Caenorhabditis elegans: one gene and its partners. The protein of the gene in region 3 interacts with the protein of the main gene of each other region in a pairwise test. Each region holds a gene or a part of one and is shown on either strand. Other genes may lie near its edges. The genes, in order: ubc-18, wbp-2, wwp-1 and dyn-1.

Region 1 (3,987 bases), on a different chromosome or scaffold from region 3:
TGTGATCACTACTATTTCTTCAAAGTCAGAGAATCCAAAAAAAAAAATTTCAGTTGGTGTGCTCATCAACGTCGTCGGACTGCTCCCCATGCAAGAAGCATAGCATTAATCAACAAAATCTACCAGCCTGGAGAGTCGAAAACTGTCGAGCAAGCACTTGGTCTTATTTAAATATTCTAACATGTAATTTCAATTTATCTCTTACTTTCTGATCTTGCTATCACATGTCTCTTATTTCAAAAATCTCACTTTAAAATTCATATAAATAATGGGTTTATTCAAATACATCATCTTGACAATTGTTTTTTCAACGTTTTTCTTCCACTTTTTGGAGATTTTCCTGAAGTTTTCTCGAGCTCGTCAGCTACTTTTTCTTGTTGAATCTTGTTAATATATTTTGCAACTTCTCGTTCGGCAGTTTTCATCAAAGCTTCTATAGCGAATACAGTCTGAAATAGAAATATTTTGAGAATATTCAGATTTTTGAATTTTCACTTGAAATCCACTAAAAATCACAATCATTGTGTAGAAAACGTATTCAAGTGGGAGATTCAGAAAAGAGCCATTCACTGCCAAGAATACTGTAAGAGGAATTTGAATAATAATTGTAGTTATTAAGAATCCAAAAAGAGCTGACATCTGTAAACACTAGTGTCGATTTTCTGACTTGACTCATTCAAAACTTACATTTTCTGCCAAATTTCCATAAAATCCAAGTCCTAGCCGTACTCCTTCACTTCCCAAATGAACTAAACACGCAGAAAATGCAATTACTTGATACGTTAATGACAGCAGACTATGCTGAAATTCAAATAATGCTCTAAGTATGTTCCACTGTAATTTTTTTTTTTACCTTGAAGTATAATGATAAGCATAGATTAATCAAATGCATAGGATAGATGCATAAGTTGAAATATATTGCAATTTGAAGTGGAAAACTTGAGATTATTTCTGTAATAATTTTTTAAAAAAGTTGTGAAAAGTGGTTTTTAGAGATTCTCACCCAACTTAAATGGTTCTTGTGATAGATTTTCCATTTTTAATAGCACTAGGACCCCAAAGAGGTTACGAGGCGGTGGGCGGTTACTATGGAAACCAACCACAGAAAGGGAAATGGTGCTCCAATGTGGAGATGGAGATGGAAATGTGTAAAACGAATTGAGAAAATGTTAAGCTACAATTTCAGCTATTTCTTTATGAGCAAAATATAATTCGTCAAAACATGAACCTAAACTTTTAAAACAATGTTTCGCGAAAATTTTAACCATTGATTGTTCATAGTTTTTTTTTAAAATGATTTTATCCCTTCATTTAGCTCTGCAATCAGGCTCGTCTTAAATGTGGCATTACGTTCTCGGGTCTTGCCACGAGCTAAAATTTTCAGCTACCGGACTTGCTAATATTTTGCAACTTCACATTGAGGGTTTATTAACTTTATGATTTTAATTGTACATCTGTATATTTATTAGCAGATTATCGAAAAGAGTATATAATAATATTAGAAAATTCAGCGAAAATTGCAATCTACCGTACTGGCGGTTACTGTAGCGGAATGGTTAAAATCTTTGTAGTTTTCGTTAATACATAATGTTATTCATTCTATTTACAACAATTAAACAACACAGCAAACAAGATTTAATTTTTCGGGTCCCGGTCGGTCACAGCACGTTGTTATGAAGTTGAATCGTTGTTTTAAATGCTGAAAGTTTTGATTTTTCGTAGATCTTTCTACTGTAGACTCACTAATCTAGGACAACATCCATTAAGTAACTGACGTAAAGAGCATGAATTACATGGAATACACACGTTTATACATGAAAAGTCTGCCATTTTTGGAACGGGGTCTTGATAAATATTTAGGCGGAACCATTGAGGCTGAAATAAATCTTTTAGATTATTTGAGAAAAATCAAACCTTTAGACATCCTATCAAAATTGCTCCAATGACTGCTAACGCGAAAATTGTAAAAATTACAATCAAAAATATTAGAGTTACCAAGTTTTCTGCTTCCTTATCTAAATTAGTTTTTCCTAAATCAGTCAGAAAATCGTTCTGTAGTGTTGAACTCATTGGGAATCGAAAATCATTTTATTTGTGGACTCGTCACTTTTAAGCGTGTTGCCTAGGCAACGATTCGAGGTACATTGCTGAATAACAACTCGACACACTCGTAGCGCCTGATATTCGAGTTTATACATTAACTCGATGTACCCTGAATTTATATTCTCATTGTCTTTTAATCAATGCAGTGATTTAGTTTTATTTTTAGACATGTTTTTTGACAAAGATATTATCGTTTGAATCTGGCGCCAATTGTCTGTGCATTTCTGCGTTGCGGTGTTCTTGCGTACAAAGCATTAGATTTGCCGACAGTCAAATTTCATGCTGACAACCTGTTTTGGTCAATGATTTCATTATTTGTCACCATTTACCACTTTCAAAAACTTGTAAATTTTATTTTAAATCTACTAACTTCAAGAATCATGATGATCCTCTTGGAAGTCATACCAGTTCCAGCCGAAATCAATATATCCTTTGTTTGAACTCGTTTTGGCTTGTTTTTTAAATTTGTTAGGAAACTTCATAACATTTTATATTTCAGTGTTAACCCAACTAGAGCGTTTATATCAACATGTCAGCGACACGGCGTCTTCAGAAGGTGAGAAAATCATGTTTATTGTACAATTCACAATTCAAATGTTCAGGAACTCGGTGATCTCAAAAACTGTGGAGTGAAGGCGTACGAGAATGTTGAGTGCGAGGAGACAAATCTCTTGAAATGGACAGTTCTCCTTATCCCAGTAAGAACTTTGTTCACTAATAAAATAATTTTAATTTTCAATTAAATTTAATTTTCAGGATAAGGAGCCATACAACAAAGGTGCGTTCAAAGTTGGAATCACGTTCCCCGTTGACTACCCATTCAAGCCACCAAAGGTCGCGTTCGAGACCAAGATTTACCATCCAAATGTTGATGAGGAAGGAAAGTTCTGTCTTCCAATTGTGACAGCTGAAAACTGGAAGCCAGCTACCAAGACCGAGCAAGGTAGGCATATCATTTAATTTAACAAGGAACGGGGTAGTTTACATCGTAGAAATAGTTAAATTTAGTTAAAAAGTTATTCTGGCTTCTCTCAATATCGTAATTTTTCAGTGATGATGGCCTTGCTGTCACTGATCAACGAACCAGAACCATCCCATCCAATTCGTGCCGACGTTGCCGAGGAGTTCCAAAAGGATCACAAAAAGTTCATGAAGACCGCCGAGGAGCACACTCGAAAGCACGCCGAAAAGCGGCCTGAATAGGCGCCAAGAGCTCAGATCTAAATTCGTTCGATTTCGAGTTCATCTTATGTTTCTTTTCTGTATTTATCATATTCTCGTTTTCACCGTCCCAATCATTCAATCCACTTCAATTTCATCCAATTCCAACCTGATTTCCCACATCCAAAGCAAGAACTGAAATAAATCCTGAACCGGGTCTGGTAGATAAGCAGAAAATTGAATGATGTTGCCGATAACAACACGGCTGTGCATGCAAAACAACGAACGAATGTGTTGTATCTCCTGCGTCTCTACGTCCTCACGTCTCTCATTTAACGCGACGCGACTAAACGTGGCTTTTTCGATGCACCGGCGATTGCGCTTTTCCTCCAGTTTTTGCTACTTTTCTTCATGTTTCTGATCTATTTAGAGCGCTCAATTTAAATTAAATTCATTAATTTTCAGACAATGAAAACTATTCTAGTTACTGGAGGAACTGGCTTAGTTGGAAGCGCTATTAAAAAGGTAGAATATATCTGTTATAATCTAAAAATCTATAACCAAAAATTCAGGTAGTTGAAACTACTGAAAAGCGAGACGATGAGAAATGGGTCTTTATTGGAAGTAAAGATTGTGATTTGGAGAATTTAGAAGAGACTAGGTAAGAGTCGAGAGAAATTATATAAAATTTTATGGAAATCTTCAGGGAATTGTTTGAAAGTG
Region 2 (4,909 bases), on a different chromosome or scaffold from region 3:
AGTTATCTCAACTGTGACTGCTGATATGGCAAGGGAAACTAAAGATGACATCATTCGAATGAGTAAAGCACACATGGAAAACCCAAATGCAATCATTTTATGCATTCAGGATGGGTGAGTATTCATCTTTTTTCTGAAAATCATTGAAGTTTTCAAATTTTAGATCGGTTGACGCGGAAAGAAGCAACGTAACTGACCTGGTCAGTAGCATTGATCCATCAGGAAAACGCACGATTCTAGTTCTTACAAAAGTCGATATGGCTGAGAAGAACTTGGCCAATCCTGATAGAATCAAGAAAATCCTTGAAGGAAAGCTATTTCCAATGAAGGCTCTTGGCTATTTCGGAGTTGTGACTGGAAGAGGAAACAGTTCGGATTCGATCGATGAAATTAGAAAGTATGAGGAGAATTTCTTCTCAACAAGCCAGTTACTACGGGATGGTGTTCTGAAACCATCGCAGATGACAACTCGAAACATGTCATTGGCAGTTTCAGATTGTTTTTGGAGAATGGTTCGGGATTCTATTGAAAGTCAAACTGATGCGTTTAGAGCAGCCAAATTTAATTTAGAAGCTGAATGGAAGAATCACTTTTTGAGAATACGACAACTAAATCGTGACGAGTTATATGACAAAGCAAGAGGAGAAATTCTGGATGAAATTGTGAATTTATCGTTAATCGGAGTTGAAGAATGGGAGAAACTACTTCAAGACAAACTATGGTCAGGAATATCTTCACATGTTTTTGATCAGATATTGATGCCTGCGTATGCTTCTTCAAGTTCCGGATCTTTCAACACAACAGTTGATATCAAGTTGAAACACTTTGCTGATAAGCAACTGGCTCAAAAGAGCATCGAAACCGGATGGGATACTTTGAAAGAAGTTTTCTTTAGACAAATTAATCAAGATGCCAGAACGAAAAAAGATCATGATCCAGTGTTTGATGCTTTAAAGGTAGTTTTTTTTGAATGATTAAAATTTAAATAATTTAATTCCAGGAAGCAGTAATCGAAGAAGCTATGCTGACGCACGGATGGGATGACAAAGCGATGGATTATCTCCGAGTAATTCAATTGAATGCAATGGAGGATCGTGCTGTTCAGGATAAACGATCATGGGATGCTGCATGCAATTTCCTTCACAAGGCTGCATCAGAACGTCTTGCAGCAGTGAAGAAGCAGCTTACTGACGACAGAGGACCGGGTTGGGCATCGAAATGGCTAATGTGGAAGACCCCAACTGCTGATAATCATTATTCATGTGTCATTCAGGACGAGCTTTACTCAATTTTAGGAGCAGATCCAGAGCACAAACAGGCGTTGACTGATGATGATATTACTGTAATCAGAAGAAATATTGAGACGAAAGGCGTACTTGAAGTTCCCACTGAATCGATTAGAAAACAATGGAAATTAGTATTTAAGAAGCACTTTTTGGAGAGGATAATTAATGTAAGTGTGACTGAAACATTTGAAATTAAATTTTTATAAAATATTTTCTGCAGAGCAGCAAGGACTGTCTATCGATGTATCAGATGTATCGTCAAGGAATGATTGAAGGACAAGATATCGATTGCCAAACCATCGTACTTTTCTACAGAATCCAAAAGATGGTCAACTTGACGTGTAACGCACTGCGGCAACAAATCACAAATACTGAACACAGAAGGCTGGAAAAAGAGATTAAGGAGGTGTTGGATGATTGGTCACAAGAGCCAGATATTAAAAAGAAATATTTGACGGGAAGACGTGTCGATCTTGCAGAAGAAATTCGTATGTTTTTTTCTGATCTTCAAATTTTTATTAATGAAAACCTGGATTTCTCATGCAAAGTTATACTTTTAAAATTCTTTAAATTCCAAATGTAATGTAAATTTTTATAATTGAGATTCCATTTTCAATTTCAAAATGTTGCGAAGTTTCATTCAAAACAAAATTATACATTCTCCATTTCAGAACAAGTTCGCCGAATCCAAGAGAAACTCGAAGAGTTCATGGCTCAATTACAACGTGAAAAAATCTGAAATCTCCTCGATGTTTGATCAGCTAAAACGATTTTCTTAGATTCTAGGTGTGTGCAATTGTTTGTTTGTTTGTTTGTTTCTAGTTCTATTATCACATAGACTCGAAAATAGGTTCTCTAAAACATGTAATTTTGTCACTTGTTTTTGTAAGTTTTCATCACGGCTTTTTGGTGCTTTTTTGCCATTTTATTTTATTTTTCCATCCTTTCATTGACACGAAAATGTATAGCTAGTCTTTTGCCTGCCCTCAATTTTTGATAGGTTATCTCAACTTTGAACCGGTTTTTTTGTTGTAAATATGATCTAGGTCTCTAATTATTGTGCTTTTTCCCCAATTTTATAATTTTTTAAAATTTAAACGAAGATTTTTCCCTAAACTAACATTTTCATTTGTTTTTTTTTCGTATTATGCTTCGGTTTTTCGATAGAAAATCCGCTTCTGGGTACCTTTTTTTATCCTGCTACCACTTGTTTAATTTATATTTAGATGTCCATCAACACGGCGAACACGCCGGACGGACTTGGTGTCCTACTGTATAATGGAGAAACCATCGTGATTTTTGCACAAGGAGTAGTAATGACACTAGGAACCAGTGAAAATGAGGTAATTTATTGCAGTATTTTTTTCATATCTTTTAAACACCAAAAATCTTCATTAGCACAAATGCTGAAAATTATAATCATATTTTCGAATTTATAGAATTTGGAAGGACGTCGAACGGGAACCATCTACCTCACATCACACAGAATCATTTTCATGCCAGACCCTGGAGATTGGCTGAAATCATTTGAAATTCCATTCAACAGTATGCAAGATGTTAACTTAAACCAGCCGATTTTCGGAGCCAACTACCTATGTGGAATCGCCTCGGCTGTTCAAGGAGGACAAATGCGCGGAGAGGTTAAATGGAGAATGACATTCAACAGAGGGGGATGTATTGAATTCGGGCAATCTCTATTGCAAGCAGTCGAAAGAGCTGTTCGAATGAGACCAGAGAATGCTCCACCTGCATATTCTCCACCAATTGGAGATTTCTACTCTGCACCGCCAGCTTATTATCAGCCGTCGCCGGATCAAGGTAAGATTTTTTGAACATTAAAAATAATCCTGAATTCGAAATTAAAATTACCTAAAAAATGTTAAGCGTAATCATTAGAGATTTGTATGAATTTGAACATTTTTCACTTTTTTGAAAAACGAAAAAAAAAGGAATCCAAGTTTGAAACATTTTTTAAAATTTTTTAAAGATTAATTTTTAAAAAAACGAGTTTTTTCTTTTTTTTTTCGATCACTTTTTGTTTAAGAGAGATTTTTTGCTAAAAATACCAAAAATCTTCAGTTCTGGTCAGACAGTTTTGCAAAAATGAAAACGTGCTCTAATGCAACTTTCTTCCACCTCGTTGCATTTTTGTTTCACAATTTTGTTGATTTTTGAATTGATTTTACCATCTTTCTTTGGATTTAATGGTTTTCTTATCAAATTCGTTAGAAAAATAATATTAAACCGCATTTAACTTTTTTTTTATTTTAAAATTATTCCCCGGTTAATCCGATTAATAATAGATTTCACATTTTCAGGACCAAATGGTTTCAATCCAACCACCGATTCGTTCCCAGATCAGCCGAACCCATCACGAGTTTTCATGAGCTCAGCACCACCACCATATCCAGGAATCGGACCAGAACGCGGCCCACATCCAACTGAAGAACTTCATGTTGCTGGACAATTTGAAGCACCACCAGCTTATGGTTCAGGAGAAACAGCCGATGGATTGAGGCGAAGAAATTAACTTGTAAATTTAACAACAAAAAATGACATTAGAGAAAGTGTTTAGTTCAAAATTATGGGGAAACACGTAGAAAACAAAGCCAATTTACCCATAATTTTTTTCCGCATCGAAAAATGATTCCAAATAAGCTCAGAAGTCTAGTTGCACACAAAAACTATCTAAAATTCCACCATTTATTTTTTGTTTTTTTTTTTAATTTTTGCACGTCTCTCTAAAAATCTCATGTGAATATAAGTAAAAGTTGTGATAAAACTATAAACTTTCGGTAGACTAAGTCTATGCCCTCTCTCTCTTGATGCCCCCTCTCGTTCCCAGGATAAAGTATATATGTATAAGTGGAATTATATCTCTTTCTCTGATTCACAGAACATTTATTTTATTTTCTCTTTTTTTTCGTTGAAAAACACAATTTTTCTTTTAATTGTAAATAAATAAATAATTTAAAATATTTATTAAGAACTTTATATTTTTTATTGATTTTTTCAAAACCATTTTTCAGTTTTCAGCTGAATTTACTATTTTGATTCAGATTATTTCTTTAATTTAGTTTTTTTTTCAATTACAGGGTTCAGAAAAAAGTCAATATGGCTTCGAATTTAACTGTCAATGTCCACCCGGGAGTCTACATGAATGTTGTCGACACTCATATGAGACGTACCAAGAGTTCTGCGAAAAATACAGGACAGGAAAAGTGCATGGGAACACTTATGGGATACTATGAGAAAGGATCGATTCAGGTAAAAATATTTATAATTACAGAAAAAAGAGCCTAATTTTTTGAAAAAACTGAAATTTTGCAAGCTTATTGGTGTCTGGAACTGTATTTAATCTAATTTTTTTAATTTTATGTAAATACCATCGACCGAAAAAGTATCTAAAACAACGAATAAAAACTCAAAATGACCGAATGCTCAAGTGCTCACACAAAAATATGCCAAAATTTTGAAAAAAGTATACTTTCAGCTAAAATCTTCAATTTTGCAAGCTTTCCCGTGTCACAAAGGTCGGAACTTAATAATATTCAATTATTACAATTTATTGCATTTTTGTGGAACTAGAAGCAAGTTCTGGCCGCTGTAACCCTGAAAAGTTT
Region 3 (8,008 bases):
CGAAACTCTGAACAATTTATTTTAGGGAAAAAATTGAAAATTCAAATTTTCAGTTCAAATTGGTGTTTTTTTTTCAACTAAAAATTCAAATTCGACCGTGAGTTGCGATCGGCGCCACAGTTTTCAATGGAGCGCCCTTGCAAATTGAAATTTTTGGGATTTTTTTTACTTGGATCACGGATTTCTGGCTTCCCTCATGAATTGAAATGGAAGAGTTTTTGCCGAACTAGGCCATTTTGGCTCGGCCATATCTGGGGTAGATTTACGGCGCGTTGCGTGTCGCGTCGCGGCTCGATATTTGTAGTAAAACTAAATGTATTTGTCCGTGTGGAGTACACGACTTTCCCACGCGTTATCGGCGGGCGATTGTCAATGGAGCGCGAAAAATTCAATGAGGTAGGCCAGAACCTCGTGAAACGCTTCAATGGAGACATTTTGTTTGGTTCGCTAGAGCGCGCTTGCTACACAATTTTTCTTCAAATTTTGAGTATTATTGACGAAAAATTGAGAAAAAAATAACTTTTTTCAAGAAAATCATTGAATTTTTCTTTTCTTGGGTTAATCGGAAATATTCAAATTTTTATAATTTTTTTCGGTAATTTGAAGGTTAGTTCGCTGGAGCGCATTTGTTGTACAGTTTTTTTTATTTAAAAAATCATTGCCGGAAAATGGCAAAACAAATTCAAAATTTCATCGTTTTTTTCAGTAATTTAAATTTTTTGGTGGCGGTTTTGTTTTGTACGCTGGAGCGCATTTGCAACACGGTTTTTTTTTTCAAATTTCGAAATTTCTAGTCGTAAAATGGAAAAAAAAATGAATTTTTAGAAAGTTTTTAAAAAATCATTTTAAAGTTAATTTTCGCTGCGGGACCCAAGAACACTTTACGAAAAAATCAAGAAAAAAGCAAGAGCTCCCCGAATCTGATAAAAGCTAAAACGTGGAGCAATAAGAAAAATCGAAAGTCCGAAATAAAACGAATGAGGCTATCCATCCTCTCCGCTGGTGCAGAGAGAGAGGAGAGACGCAGACAGCCGAGACATGAGTGACCAAAGGGTCCCGTCCTTCTCCTGCAGGGTTCAAAATATTGATCTTCTGCTCTCCGTGTGTTCCGCATGGAAATTCTGAAAGTTAAGAAAACCTAAAACAACAAAAAAGGCTCAAAATTTAAAAAATTAAATTCATTACAACCAAATCGAGGAATTGTGTTTTTTTTTGTTTTCAAAAAAAAAAGTAGAAATTGTTCTAATCGGGGGGTGACGGATTGGTTGGGGGGATGCATTTGAATTAATAATCGAGAGCTGCTTCCGTGAAAAAAACTGGAACTAAGAATGACAAGGACCAAGTAAGAATAAGGCGCAGATTGGGTGGTGGTGGTTGAAATGGTTGAGAAGAAGAAAAGCAATGAAGCAATGGACACAAAAAAAATATTTGAAAAGTGGTGGAATTGTTTTTTTGTTGTTGGAATTAAACGGGAAATTTGGAAATTAAATCCAAAAAAACTAGATGCTTTGTCTATATTCTAAATATAGGTACATACCCAGAAGGAAAGGAAAGAGAGAGAGAGAACCTAAGCAAGTGGTATCACAACACGAAAATTATCACACAAATTCGAAAAAAAGAAACATTAATTGATGGAGAGAAAAAAAAGGAAAATCAATGGGGTGTGGGTGAGAAGAAATATGAGGGTTATACAATAATTAGGCGGCCAGCAAAACCAAAAAAAAACAACGGGAGACTACTCGTTTCCAAATCCTTCCGTCATCTCGATCGCCATGCTCAACTTCTCGACGAGCTGATCGTAGCTTCTGTATGGCGGCAAGTCGAGTCGATTGAAGCACGTATGCGACCGTGGGAGCCAGTTCTCCTTGCCGACACGCTCGATACAGAATAGTTGTGGTCCCGTCGAGCCCATCAGCTCGGAAAATCCACCGACTGGCACACGGCACGTTCCTGTGACGAATTGTAGGAGCCGGGCACGTTTTTCTTGGTCCAGACTTCGAACCCATTGCCAGAACCAGGTTACCTATAAATGTATTTTTTAATTAAAAAAAAAGAAGTTTTAATCAAATGTTCTCCCCTACCTGCTTGCTCTGTGGAGCATAATGTCTGTAGACAGTATTTCTCTGCCAATCGTCCACATCAACGTCCTGCATTCCGCAGAGCAACAGCTCGAGCTCTCTTTCATCGAAATACTGCATCCATTCCAACGGGAAGACCGAGTTGAAGCCGGTGAAGAAGGCTTTTGTCTGTTGTTCGACACCGCGATTGAAGCGCCACTCAACGAGCAGTTCGATGTATTCAAGCTGGAAAATTGGGATTTTTTAAATTAAATTATTTTATTTAAAAATTATTTTTATAAGCTCTAGCTAATCCAAAATCTCACCTTATTCTCCTCGGTAACAGCAATCTCTGTACCGCCCTCCTTAAGCTCATAAGTCTTGAGCTCGCCGAGCAGCTCGTAATCGGCAACAAAATAGAGCTCCATATCGCATTCATCGATATTGTTATCCTTGATCCACATCAATGAATTATAAATTTCCGAATCGACTTGTTCAATGTCCTTTAAAACAATCTTCTTGTTGAGCATCTTTTTGTAGAATGGCATCGTGAAACCGCTGTAGATGAATTTCCCGTGGAATAGCGCCTGGAAATTTGAAAATAAAGGAATTTTCTAAGAAAAACTATTTGTTTAAATAAAAATAACATTTTTAGGAGAAAATGAAATATATTGATCTGAAAATTTGAGATCATCGAAATTTCCAGGTTTTTTGAGCTGAAAATAAAAAAAATCGATATTTAAGGATTTCCTTCATCAAAAAACAAAAATTTTAGATCCAAGTGCTTTTTTTTGGAATTTTCTGCAAAATTTAACGTTTAAAATTTTAAAATTCAATTGTAAAAAGCGGAAAACTCGATTTTCTCTCGATTTCGCAATTTTTCATCCAATTTTCAACTGATTTTCAATTAAAAAAAAACACTCACCATGGCAATGAATCGTCCAATATACTCGAAATACTTAAGATGATCCGGGTTAACAAATGAAGCTGGATTGATTTGAAGACTATAATTGTTATTACCAGCATACATGAATAGGCAATACATTGGATTCAACACTTCGTGCGACAGCAGGAAGAACCATTCTCTGGCGACACCTCCATAGTCGAGACCCTCTTCGCCTCGGAATTGAATGTACAGCCGCCGGCGTAGATCGACTGCATTTTTACGCATAATTTCTTGGAATGAGTCTTCGAACACGTTATTACGGGATACTGTGATTTTGACATGATTAGGCACACTGTTTGACTGAAATTTACATCAATTTATAGCTAAAATCAAAGAATTTCTCGCCCTCCCTTACCAAGCATAAATATCTGAATTGTGCAATTTTCCACCGGAAACTCTTCTCCATGGCCATTTGAACACCGACGACGCCGAGCGGGCCGACGGGTTTTCCGGTTCTTGGATCATTATAGGTGGTGGTTTTAGACTGGTGATCGATGAAGAATGGAACGCCTTGCTCGGTGAATCGCATTTCCCAACCATCCGGAAGAGGTTGGTCGGAGCCTCTGAAACTTTTAAAACATTAAAACTGTGATTTTTGATAGAAATATTATTGGAAAATTGAAAATTTTCACATACCCCTGTGTTCTCGGATCTTCCCATTGTGTCGTTCTATTTACATGATTCACAAAGTACATTCTCGACGTATTCGGATCCTGACGCTTCTCCCATCCTTCGGGCAATGGTCCGAGTGGATCGTCGGCGCTAAAGTTGTTCTGCTGGAGAAGGAAACGTTGTTCCCATTGAAGCATCGCCTGATCTCTTCCCGATTGCCATTGTTCGTGTGCTTCAAGCATATCGGCTGTCGGTCGTTGCCAGGTGGTCGTGCGCGTGTTGTGATCCACGTAATACACCTGAAAATGGATTGTGCACCTGGCGTGAATTTTTAGACATTTTTCAAGTAAAAATCACTGGAAAGTTTTTTTTTTTTCGATTATCAAATAATTGGAGACCTTGGTTAAAATAAAGAAAATCAGAATTTTTTATCCGTCGTTATAATTTCCTAATTTTCAGGCCGTATTTAAAGAAAAAATTTCAAAATTTTCTCGAAAAAAAAAATTATGGAGGATCAAAATTACGAAAAATTGCCTGAATTCAGCAAAAATCTTCAATTTTGTCAGTTTTTCTGTGTTGGAAGTTGATTTTTACTTTATTTTTGGCCTATTTCGATGCAATTACAAAAATTTGACAAGAAATCAACAAAAATAAGACACTAATTATGTAAAAATCAAGATTTTAGCCTTAAAATAATTTATCAGGTCACTTTTTTCGGCATTTTGGTCCAGGTATCCGCGGCTACGGTAGATATTTTTAATTTTGATGATTTTCGCATCAAAAATATAATCAGAAACGCTTTTCTCGTGCTAAATCTGCTTTTTCCGCCGGAAAACTCACTCTTCCTCTCGGATCTCTTCGCATTTCCCATCCCTGTGGCAATGGCTGAGTAGACGGGCGTTCCCACGTGGTGCTCTTGGTGGTGTGATCCACGTAGTACTTGCGTCCGTATTGATCGAAACGCATCTCCCATCCATCGGGAAGCTGTTCTTCTGCTCCGGCGGCCGGGGTGCCGCCTGCTGTTGCTGCTGCTGCCGCCGCTGCGGTACTCTGCAAATGAAAAGTAAACATTAAGAGTAGTAGAGTAATGCATGTATTTGACAACATTTTGTGTATGATTCTGTAGCATTAAAAATGCAGAGAAAAGAATAAAAAACGCTCATTCACGCTCTCCTCTAGTGTTCATAATTATTAGAGCGCGCTCGCGCGGCACCTCACGAACTCCAGAATTCGCGGGATTTCGTTTCGCGGGGACAGCAGTTTTTGGCTATTTTTGGCTTCTATGGAAATTATTTTTAACGAAAACTGAAGGTTTACAGAGAGGAGTCACCACGACTTTCTTTAAAATGTATCAGTACCGTCAGTTTTTTCGATTTCAGAGTCGTAAAATATGTCATTTTGTAGAGAAAAGTCTGTTTCAAAAAAATCCATGTTTGAAATTATGAAATTGTTCTTATTAAAAACTGAACGATTGAAAAATTCGATTTTAACGTAAACTTGTTGATTTTTTGAATATTTTTATATTAGAAATTAAACAATTAAAATATCAAACATGGATTTTTGTGAAACAGACGTTTCTCTACAAAATGACATATTTTACGACTCTGAAATCGAAATACTGACGGTACTGATACTTTTTAAAGAAAGCCGTGGTGACTCCTCTCTGTAAAACCTTCAGTTTTCGGTCAAATTTCATAATTTTACACATTTTCAATTTGGATGATGCTTCTCAACAATATTTTAAATCAAAAAATTAAAAATAATTTCCATAGAAGCCAAAATAGCCAAAAACTGCTGTCCTCGCGAATTCTGGAGTTCGTGAGGTGCCGCGCGAGCGCGCTCTAATAATTATGAACACTCCAGTAGAGCGTTTCATGAATAATTAAATAATTCAAAATGGGTCTCGTCACGATTACCGTTGGAGCCGCCAAAGTGTCACGCTTCGCTGTCGCCGGTCTCCGCGCCGAGGATGACGTGGCAACGCCATTTGACGTGGATGCCTCTGAACTTGCAGACGCGGCGGTTTCAGCTCGTACTCCTGCGCTTCTTCGTTTCCGCTCTGGATATCCGGAGAAAATTATGTTGAGAGTTCCGATTTTCGAGGAGTCTTTGGCCAGCAAAGATATATTGTTGATGTCGTTTTTGACTGAAATAATAGATTTTTTGAGAAAATTTCAATAAAACCACTTACACTCTCCATTCTCATTTCTTGTGAGACTCGAAAGCTTCAGCTTCGCCATCCCTAGACACGTGTCATCGAATAGCTTGGCTTTTTGCAATAGACGAAACGAAATTGTCGAAGATTCATTTGCATGAACGTTGAGATGTTCATTCCACTCGGGCGCCATCGTCTTCTTCTTTACAGTCGTCTTTTTTGGCGCCGCCGATGACGTGTCACTCGTGATTTCGACATAGCAGTCGGCTGCCTTGGTGAACGACGCGTTGACGACTATGATTAAGAGGGGGAAATATTATTAGAACAGATGCAAAAAATCTACGAATTGTTACCTTTTACTGTGACTTTTGATGGTTTTGCCGACCCGTTTTGTTGTGCTGGAGTTCCATTACTCCCGGAACTACTCGGCTGCTGAGATGATGGTTCATTACGAGCCATTCGATCATGAAACTGGCTGAAAATTTCGCAATTCCAGAAAAGATTTAGAAATGAAAAGTCGGCGAGAAAGGAAAAATAAATCCACGTATCACAAATGACAGCGAAACGGTGGGAATGAAGATGTTAAGTACTACTAGTCAGTATTATCGATCGATTTCCAACTGATAACACTGGAAACCATGTGAAAAAATCTATAACAGCTCGCAGTAACTTGCCATTGGCTGCTGGTCGATGCGTTTTGTCATATGACCTGCACATCTAACGCCGTTTCGCCCGCGCATTCAAACGTGTTTGTTGGGGCGCGCTTGCTATTCAATAGCATTTTTCACATACACACAATTGGTATTTGCTGTTGATATAAACTGGAATGTCATGATAAAGTGATAGCAGGTGAAATGAATCACAGTCATACGAGTAAAGAATTGGAAGAAGTGAAAGTTCTCGATCAATAGAGGGGTGTTTTACACAAACAGTGATTTAATTGTTCTTTTCTGTAAAAGGTAGGTCAATTCGAAGATGCAATTGTTTTTTAAACATAACAAAAAAGTTAAAAAAGACTGATAAACGTTTACTTGGAACGGAAAACGGGATAAGCAAGAGATACAACGATAACAAGAGTATCTGCAAGGTCATCAGGAAACAAGCTACATGGTAAGGCTCATGATGGCATTGACGATGTCATTGTCAGCTTCCTTAAGCGCCCTGATGGCCTTGTTGCGGGTGGTGTTGGCTTGGGAAATGACAAGCTCGATGTCCTTCTCCTCAATGCCGGTGGAATCCTCCTTAAACCGTACAATTAATGTAATAAATCCGATTAAGTTACTGAATTACCTCAACATCCTCATTCTCGTCCTCTTCGACAGTCTTGAGTTGTGGGGCCTCACGAGTTGGCTTCAAGTTCTCAATAGCAGACATCTGGGCGTGTTGGGTGAGATCCTCGATCTTGGCTTCTCCGAAGATGATGTAGGTGTCAGATCCTGGGCTCTTGAACACGTCTGGCTTGTTTATGACGAAGAGGATGTTCTTCGACTTGCGAATGCAGACACGGGAGACACCAGTCACTTGCTTGAGTCCGAGCTTGGAGAAGAGCTTGCGGGCCTTCTTCTCGGAGCGGCTTTGCTTGGCCTGCTTGTCGATGTGATCTCCAAGTCCAGCAGCCTCGGCCACACGTCTTTGCTCCTCGGTGAGCTCTTGCTCGACGGCCTCGTTGTCGGAATCATCCGAAACGTCAACTTGTGGCTGAAATATAGAAATTTAAATATTTTAGACGTCACTTTGAACAACCAACCTCCTTGACTTCCTTCTGGCGAGTTTCGGTGCTTCCGGTCATTGTTTAATGTGGTAACCCTGAAAAAAACGTTTATGAAAGTTTACAAATTTGAGAGAAACAGGAGTTTCAAAGAGAATATTACAAAAAAAAGATGAAAAACTTGTAAATTCAAAATATCCACACATTTTTCTTGGTAGGAAAGCTTTAATCGAGGAAATTCAAGCTAACTTTTGCACAATCTTAGAATATACCCATTACTACTTATTCTAGATTGGATTTTCATGTTTTTGAGGAAAATCTGAGCCAAAATTAAGCCAAAAAAGCAAAAAAATAGTTGAAAAATCGCGCAAAATTGGTGAAACTTCTCGAGAAAAAAAGGGGTGTTTCTCTTTTTGCTATATGACCTGCACATCTAACTTCGACCCGCGACGTTCAAACTGTGCGATGGAGCGTGCTTGCACAAAATTTTTTGCTGGCAAAGTTTTTGCAGCAGCCTTTTCAACAAAATT
Region 4 (6,834 bases), on a different chromosome or scaffold from region 3:
TTGCTCGCTATGGAGTGAAGGGACAACAAAAAACTCAGCTGTTATTTATTCCATGTTCTGTTTTGCTTTACAATTAAAAAAATCAATTGAGCTATTTTGCTAGATTTTCAATACTTTTAAACCATGTTTTATAAATGTTTTATAAATTTCAGAGCATATGAAATCATTGTACATCAACTGATTAGTCACAAATTCATTATCAGGAGTAGTATGGGAATGTTAAATTCGTTATTTGTTTACACACCGCTGGTTCTTAGTAAAATTTTCTAATAGGAAGTAACTGGAATTTGTTTGGAAACCTACAAATCTGTTAATTTCGGAATTAATATCCAAGTTTCCAAATTAGCAGAAATAAAATTTTGAAGTAATATCTGGTTGAAATGTTGTGTTTCTGCTATAAAACTTGAAAAGAAACCTTGAATCCTGCTAGAGAATCGCCTTTGGTCAGAAAATCGAACATCAGTTTTTACTGCAAGTGACAATTTTCAGGGAGTATTTGAAGCCGTTATTTTTAATCCCAACTTTTTAAATGAAAATGAGTATATTTTTCATATTTATGATATGCATATATATATGTTCAATCTATCTGTGTTAGAGCTTGATGATTATTTCGAATCGGGCGGGTTTAAAGATCTGCCAAAAAAATTTGCAGTACTACCCTGTCTTGAAAAAAAAAGAAGAAAAACTGTGATACAATTTAACAATCATGAACATACGACAATTCTCTACAAATTATAATATCATAATGAATTCCATATTTTGTTTAAACAAATTGGACTAAATGAATTTCCTCGTCTCTAATAAACAAATAGAACGTGGAAAAACCTTCTTACTAATCATGATTTCTGGTCACAATTGTGACTCGATATTTGCTAAGATGACGATTTTTCTTTTCTTCCTACGGTACTGATCGGACTGTTGTAAAAGTTTCACAATTTTGAAATATTTTATTTTATTTTTATTTTGCATAATTTCCAAAGGTCATCCATCTCATTTCCATTCTCAATAAAAAAAATTTTTAAAGTCTGCCTCTTTTTATTAAAGAAACGATGTTATTTGCTCACTAACTTCCATTCACACGTTTCCAGCGAGATAGCAGGTAAGTTGAGAGACGCAGGTGGTTAGACTACAAACAGAAGGGTGGCCGGCTGCCACCCTCTCCACACCACTATTTCACAACATTTACAATGAATTGATCTACCCGCCAAATTCTGGTTTTCGGCAATCCAAAACTGTTCGCTTTGTTTTCCACTTTTTCATTTTTCATTTCTCCTCCACTACTTATTTGGATTTTCTTTTTCAAATGTGTCCCGTTTAGTTTTTTTTTGCATCTAACAACCTTCTGTTTTTTTCCAATATTTTCATTAAACAAGCCTCCAAATTCTTCATAAAATTCCTCGTGAAAAGAAATTTCTTGTCGTGGTTACTGCTGACGCGTTTTGCGATGAGTGTGTGTTGGCACGCTCTCCGCCGTCGCTGGCCAAGCCTTTTTCTCTCCCCGCCGCAGTACTGACTGCGAGGCTGACTCACTGCGGTCATTTCGTTTGCCTCACCCTCACTTTTAGTCTCTGCATCTCCGAGTCTCTCCGCGCTTTTTTGTACGCCGATCGTTTCTTCTTCTTGTTTTCCAAACATTCAACACCGTTTTGCCGACAATGATTCTGAATATTTGTTGATTTTGTTTTTTCAAATGCGATTTGAGGATTTTTTTTTCTAATTTTATATTCTATATTCTTGAAGGTGATAAATTTCATTCTAAAACATAATTATTAAACCTCCGAAAACCTCATTGCGAAATCGTGCTTTTTCCATTAAATCTTCTCAATGCTCTTCCTCATATCATTAATCGACTAAAAAAATCGATTTTCAGGTAGTTCAGCGTATAACCACCAGGATCAGCCATGTCGTGGCAAAACCAGGGAATGCAGGCGTTGATCCCTGTGATCAATCGTGTCCAGGACGCCTTCTCCCAGCTGGGCACATCTGTCAGCTTCGAACTTCCACAGATCGCCGTCGTCGGAGGACAGTCCGCTGGAAAGTCGTCGGTGCTGGAGAATTTTGTCGGAAAGTGAGTCACAAGAAGAAAAAAAACATAACTTTGCGAAATAAAATCACAATTTTTTTCCTTTCCAGAGACTTCTTGCCACGTGGATCAGGAATCGTAACACGTCGTCCACTTATTTTGCAGCTTATTCAAGATCGCAATGAGTACGCCGAGTTCCTACACAAGAAGGGTCATCGCTTTGTGGATTTTGATGCAGTTCGGAAAGAGATTGAGGATGAGACTGATCGTGTCACTGGACAGAATAAGGGAATCAGTCCACATCCAATCAACTTGCGTGTCTTTTCTCCAAATGGTAAGCATTTAGAAACTCACAGAAACGCAAGTGCGCTGGATGATTTGAGCATCTGAAACCAGACTTATGCAACTTTTTTTAAAATTTAAATTGCATTAAAGATTTCATAAATTTACAGTGAGTTGCACAAAATCACTGGAAAAATTCACACATTTTAATTAATTCATACTTAATTTTTCAGTTCTAAATCTGACACTCATCGATTTGCCCGGTCTCACAAAAGTGCCCGTCGGAGATCAACCAGCAGATATTGAGCAACAGATCCGTGACATGATTCTCACATTCATCAACCGTGAGACTTGCCTCATTCTTGCCGTCACTCCGGCCAACAGCGATCTCGCCACTTCGGATGCGTTGAAACTTGCGAAGGAAGTCGATCCACAGGGTCTTCGCACGATTGGAGTCCTCACCAAACTTGACTTGATGGACGAGGGAACCGATGCTCGCGAGATCCTCGAGAACAAGCTGTTCACACTTCGTCGTGGCTACGTCGGAGTTGTCAATCGTGGGCAGAAGGATATTGTCGGTCGCAAGGATATTAGAGCTGCTTTGGACGCCGAGAGAAAGTTCTTCATCTCACACCCATCCTACCGACATATGGCTGATCGGTTGGGAACAAGCTACCTTCAACACACTCTTAATCAACAGCTCACCAATCATATCCGTGATACACTGCCAACACTTCGTGATAGTCTTCAAAAGAAGATGTTTGCTATGGAAAAGGATGTGGCCGAGTACAAGAACTACCAGCCAAATGATCCAGGCCGCAAGACCAAGGCTCTTTTGCAGTAAGTGATTTCAATGGAGGTGCTTTATTAACAAAATTTTTGCAGAATGGTTACCCAGTTCAATGCTGACATTGAGCGCTCCATTGAAGGTTCCTCTGCAAAGCTGGTTTCAACCAATGAGCTCAGTGGAGGAGCCCGTATCAATCGGCTTTTCCATGAGCGTTTCCCATTTGAGATTGTTAAAATGGAAATTGACGAGAAAGAAATGCGCAAAGAAATCCAGTATGCCATCAGAAACATTCACGGTATCCGCGTCGGTCTCTTCACTCCGGATATGGCGTTTGAGGCAATTGCCAAAAAGCAAATCACCCGTCTGAAGGAGCCATCGTTGAAATGCGTTGATCTGGTGGTCAACGAGTTGGCTAATGTGATCAGACAGTGCGCTGACACTATGGCTAGATATCCACGTCTTCGTGACGAGCTGGAAAGAATCGTCGTCTCGCATATGCGTGAACGTGAGCAAATTGCCAAGCAGCAAATTGGGCTCATTGTTGACTACGAACTCGCTTATATGAACACAAACCATGAGGATTTCATTGGATTCAGCAAGTAGGAGTTTAGACTTTGCTTTTAGATGTTTAATTTTATTTTTTTAGTGCTGAAGCAAAAGCCTCCCAAGGACAATCAGCGAAGAAGAATCTTGGAAACCAGGTGATCAGAAAGGGCTGGCTCTCACTGAGCAACGTATCGTTTGTGCGTGGCTCCAAGGACAATTGGTTTGTGCTCATGTCGGACAGTTTGAGTTGGTACAAAGATGATGAGGAGAAGGAGAAGAAGTACATGCTCCCATTGGATGGTGTCAAGCTGAAGGATATTGAGGGTGGATTTATGTCTCGTAACCACAAGTTTGCTCTGTTCTACCCCGACGGAAAGTGAGTTACTCAAGAATTTTGCGATTTGATTGCCATTTCAACATTCCAAGAGCCCGCACGCTTTTCTTTCCACATTAGAGTTTCATTAGGCAGAAACACAGGAACACTAAATTGAGCATGAGTTTTGAAACGAGACAAAAAACGCACACACACACAAAATCAATTTTTTTTGAATATTTGTTTAAATTAAATTAATTTGCAGGAGGTGAGTGTATAGTTTACTTTCTTCACTTCTTCTTCTTCTTTAATGACTTGTAAGACAGAAAAACCTTTGTGTTGTCGTCCTTGTGATCTGTTTTCATTTTTTTTACCCGAAAAGTTTATCCACCTTGAAACCAACACCTTTCACTTCTGTAGTCAATTTCTTATTTTTCCTGTTTCTCTTTCTCTGCTGTGACAGTTTCAGTTCAGACAAAAAAAAATACAGCATGCAAAATGCTTTTTAGATAAAAGATTCTGAACCAGCATGAAGATGTAAACTCATGTATCCTTGACCTCACGCACTTGCTTCTCCCATAACCCTTTGAATTCCAGGAACATCTACAAGGATTACAAGCAGCTTGAGTTGGGATGCACCAATTTGGACGAAATTGATGCGTGGAAGGCTTCATTCTTGCGTGCTGGTGTCTATCCAGAAAAGCAGAAGGCACAGGAAGATGAGTCCCAACAAGAGATGGAGGATACCTCGATTGATCCACAACTTGAGAGACAGGTGGAGACAATCCGTAATTTGGTTGATTCCTACATGAGAATCATTACCAAGACAATTAAGGACCTGGTTCCAAAGGCGGTGATGCATTTGATTGTTAACCAGGTGAGGGATTTTAAAAGAATTGAATGATTCATCGTGATATCATCACGGCCTGTTTTTTTAACCGTACACAATAAACCTTAAACTAAATATCTCAATAATTTCAGACAGGTGAGTTCATGAAAGATGAACTTTTGGCCCATCTCTACCAATGCGGCGACACTGATGCTCTCATGGAGGAATCTCAAATAGAAGCCCAGAAGCGCGAGGAGATGCTCCGAATGTACCATGCTTGCAAGGAGGCGCTCCGCATTATCTCTGAAGTCAACATGAGCACCCTTGGCGACCAGCCGCCGCCATTGCCGATGTCTGACTACCGCCCACACCCATCTGGACCTTCACCGGTGCCGCGTCCGGCTCCTGCTCCACCAGGCGGACGTCAGGCCCCAATGCCACCACGCGGAGGACCCGGTGCCCCACCACCACCAGGCATGAGACCACCACCAGGTGCGCCAGGAGGCGGCGGTGGCATGTACCCACCGTTGATTCCAACGTAAGTTTATGCCTATTTTTTTTCGAAAAGAGCACCAGATCTCTTCTAATCTTTCCTATTTTGGTCCGTCATACTCTTTCTTCTGTCAAAATTTTTTTTCTGAAATTTAGAAAAAAAAATACTGTCAACAAGTCAGAATAAAACCTAAAACTAACGTGTACCAACCACTCTAGGCGTCCGGGACCAGGCGGCCCACCACCCAACATGGCACCGCCTAGATAATAATGTTGTGAATAATTCCCCCACTGACCAAAGGTTTGTTAATCGCGAAGAAGCAGTACAGAGAAGTGTATAATTGTTTGTTGTAATCGTGATGTGTATTAGCAGCATCTATCTAGTGTTGTGATCCCTTGGCACTTTATCGGAACATTTTTATATTCCACTATCTTCCTGTGATTTTTTCTACAGAAAGAAGCAAAAGCTAACTTTTCTTTCTCATCAAATTTTTCATAATTTCGTCATTATTTGCATGTTTCAATGGTGGTCTAGCTTTCTGTTGTTGTAGTATTAATCTGAAACGTTGTTTTTTTTTTCAGAAGAGTACCGACACCATCCAACGGAGCACCAGAGATTCCAGCTCGCCCGCAAGTCCCCAAGAGACCTTTCTAAATGCTTTTACATCTCCATCCTAGCTCACTTGTCATACTATTACCGTTCCCATAGTAATTGTACAATGCCCCCGTTTTATCAAGCATTTCTTTTTTTTTTTTGAGAATTTTTAAATTAATCAATATCCCGAGTTCTTCCACCTTTTGAGCAAGTCTCGTTGAGGATTGCATTGGTCCCAGCGCTAACTAGGCGTCAATTCATCCACCTCTCCATTCTCTCTCCCGTTCCAACTGTGTTTTTCTTTGTCAGCGGCGAATTTTCCACAACCAATCGAGTCCTATTTCTCTTTTTTTCCCCCACCTCCCAATAATTTTATTTGCATGTTTTATAAACTCACTTTGTTCAATAATTTATTGATTTTATTTTTTCTATGATTTGAAACTTTACATTTTTCCTACTCTTCTATAGCAATACTTTGTCACTTACAATAACCCCCCCCCCCCAGTCTGCCTATATTTATTTAGATGTTCTTTATGGCCACCCAATGTATAAACTCTTTTAGTGCATTTGTAGGTTCTTTCTTCATCCCACCCAATTCCCCCTCCACCACAAATCCCAGTTTTGATTATTTTAAGCCCATATTTATAAGAAGTAAATATATTTATAGATTTTTCTTAGATTATAAGCTCTTCTAGGTTTTCCCTCGTTGAGAAGAATGATCTGAAAAAGCCTAAATTATAGATTTTTGAAACGTATTGTGTAGAATTTGTATTTATTCGTGAAAGTGGAATAAAGTTAAAACGGAAAAATGTAGTATTAGTTTTGTGCAAAACATTGGCCCTATAAATGTAGATGTAGGAAAGTCTGTTTATTCTTGGAAAAATCCCTAATTTTTGTGAAATTGTTTGGTTTGCAGCGGTCGGAAGCAATCTTGAAAATAATTATCATTTGTAATCACATTTTG

Evidence for each region.
Region 1: the proteins of wwp-1 (region 3) and ubc-18 interact in binary tests that used the Caenorhabditis elegans proteins (3 or more experiments, as listed by UniProt).
Region 2: the proteins of wwp-1 (region 3) and wbp-2 interact in a two-hybrid assay, tested with the Caenorhabditis elegans proteins (2 studies listed by BioGRID).
Region 4: the proteins of wwp-1 (region 3) and dyn-1 interact in binary tests that used the Caenorhabditis elegans proteins (3 or more experiments, as listed by UniProt).

The regions. Positions count from the first base shown.
Region 1 is NC_003281.10:7,067,186-7,071,172, reverse strand, and holds ubc-18 (Ubiquitin-conjugating enzyme E2 ubc-18), read left to right. Parts: upstream 1-2,602; 5' UTR 2,603-2,632; coding exon 2,633-2,659; intron 2,660-2,705; coding exon 2,706-2,801; intron 2,802-2,859; coding exon 2,860-3,046; intron 3,047-3,154; coding exon 3,155-3,306; 3' UTR 3,307-3,487; downstream 3,488-3,987. Other genes in the region: lin-37 (uncharacterized protein), read left to right, coding at 54-171; tmem-17 (transmembrane 17 domain-containing protein), read right to left, coding at 288-449, 517-639, 688-801, 854-892; R01H2.8 (uncharacterized protein), read right to left, coding at 1,613-1,699, 1,744-1,875, 1,915-2,070; ger-1 (GDP-L-fucose synthase), read left to right, coding at 3,733-3,789, 3,837-3,925, 3,971-3,987. UniProt on the Caenorhabditis elegans protein: Ubiquitin-conjugating enzyme E2. Accepts ubiquitin from the E1 complex and catalyzes its covalent attachment to other proteins. Required for diet restriction-mediated lifespan extension, probably acting as part of a complex with ubiquitin-protein ligase wwp-1.
Region 2 is NC_003280.10:9,327,262-9,332,170, forward strand, and holds wbp-2 (GRAM domain-containing protein), read left to right. Parts: upstream 1-2,512; coding exon 2,513-2,629; intron 2,630-2,725; coding exon 2,726-3,104; intron 3,105-3,604; coding exon 3,605-3,816; 3' UTR 3,817-4,266; downstream 4,267-4,909. Other genes in the region: eat-3 (Dynamin-like GTPase OPA1, mitochondrial), read left to right, coding at 1-114, 164-956, 1,001-1,453, 1,507-1,774, 1,958-2,025; eif-3.F (Eukaryotic translation initiation factor 3 subunit F), read left to right, coding at 4,401-4,553.
Region 3 is NC_003279.8:535,359-543,366, reverse strand, and holds wwp-1 (E3 ubiquitin-protein ligase wwp-1), read right to left. Parts: upstream 6,246-8,008; 5' UTR 6,230-6,245; coding exon 6,124-6,229; intron 6,065-6,123; coding exon 5,807-6,064; intron 5,762-5,806; coding exon 5,532-5,761; intron 4,666-5,531; coding exon 4,456-4,665; intron 4,282-4,455; exon of another isoform or gene 4,125-4,281; intron 3,915-4,124; coding exon 3,640-3,914; intron 3,573-3,639; coding exon 3,359-3,572; intron 3,304-3,358; coding exon 2,983-3,303; intron 2,645-2,982; coding exon 2,384-2,644; intron 2,304-2,383; coding exon 2,082-2,303; intron 2,024-2,081; coding exon 1,736-2,023; 3' UTR 1,169-1,735; downstream 1-1,168. Other genes in the region: icd-2 (Nascent polypeptide-associated complex subunit alpha), read right to left, coding at 6,874-7,011, 7,061-7,468, 7,518-7,559. UniProt on the Caenorhabditis elegans protein: E3 ubiquitin-protein ligase which accepts ubiquitin from an E2 ubiquitin-conjugating enzyme in the form of a thioester and then directly transfers the ubiquitin to targeted substrates. Ubiquitinates klf-1.
Region 4 is NC_003284.9:15,567,020-15,573,853, forward strand, and holds dyn-1 (Dynamin), read left to right. Parts: upstream 1-1,901; coding exon 1,902-2,068; intron 2,069-2,133; coding exon 2,134-2,357; intron 2,358-2,538; coding exon 2,539-3,145; intron 3,146-3,190; coding exon 3,191-3,694; intron 3,695-3,741; coding exon 3,742-4,017; intron 4,018-4,551; coding exon 4,552-4,831; intron 4,832-4,935; coding exon 4,936-5,321; intron 5,322-5,494; coding exon of another isoform or gene 5,495-5,543; exon of another isoform or gene 5,544-5,576; intron 5,577-5,857; coding exon 5,858-5,930; downstream 5,931-6,834.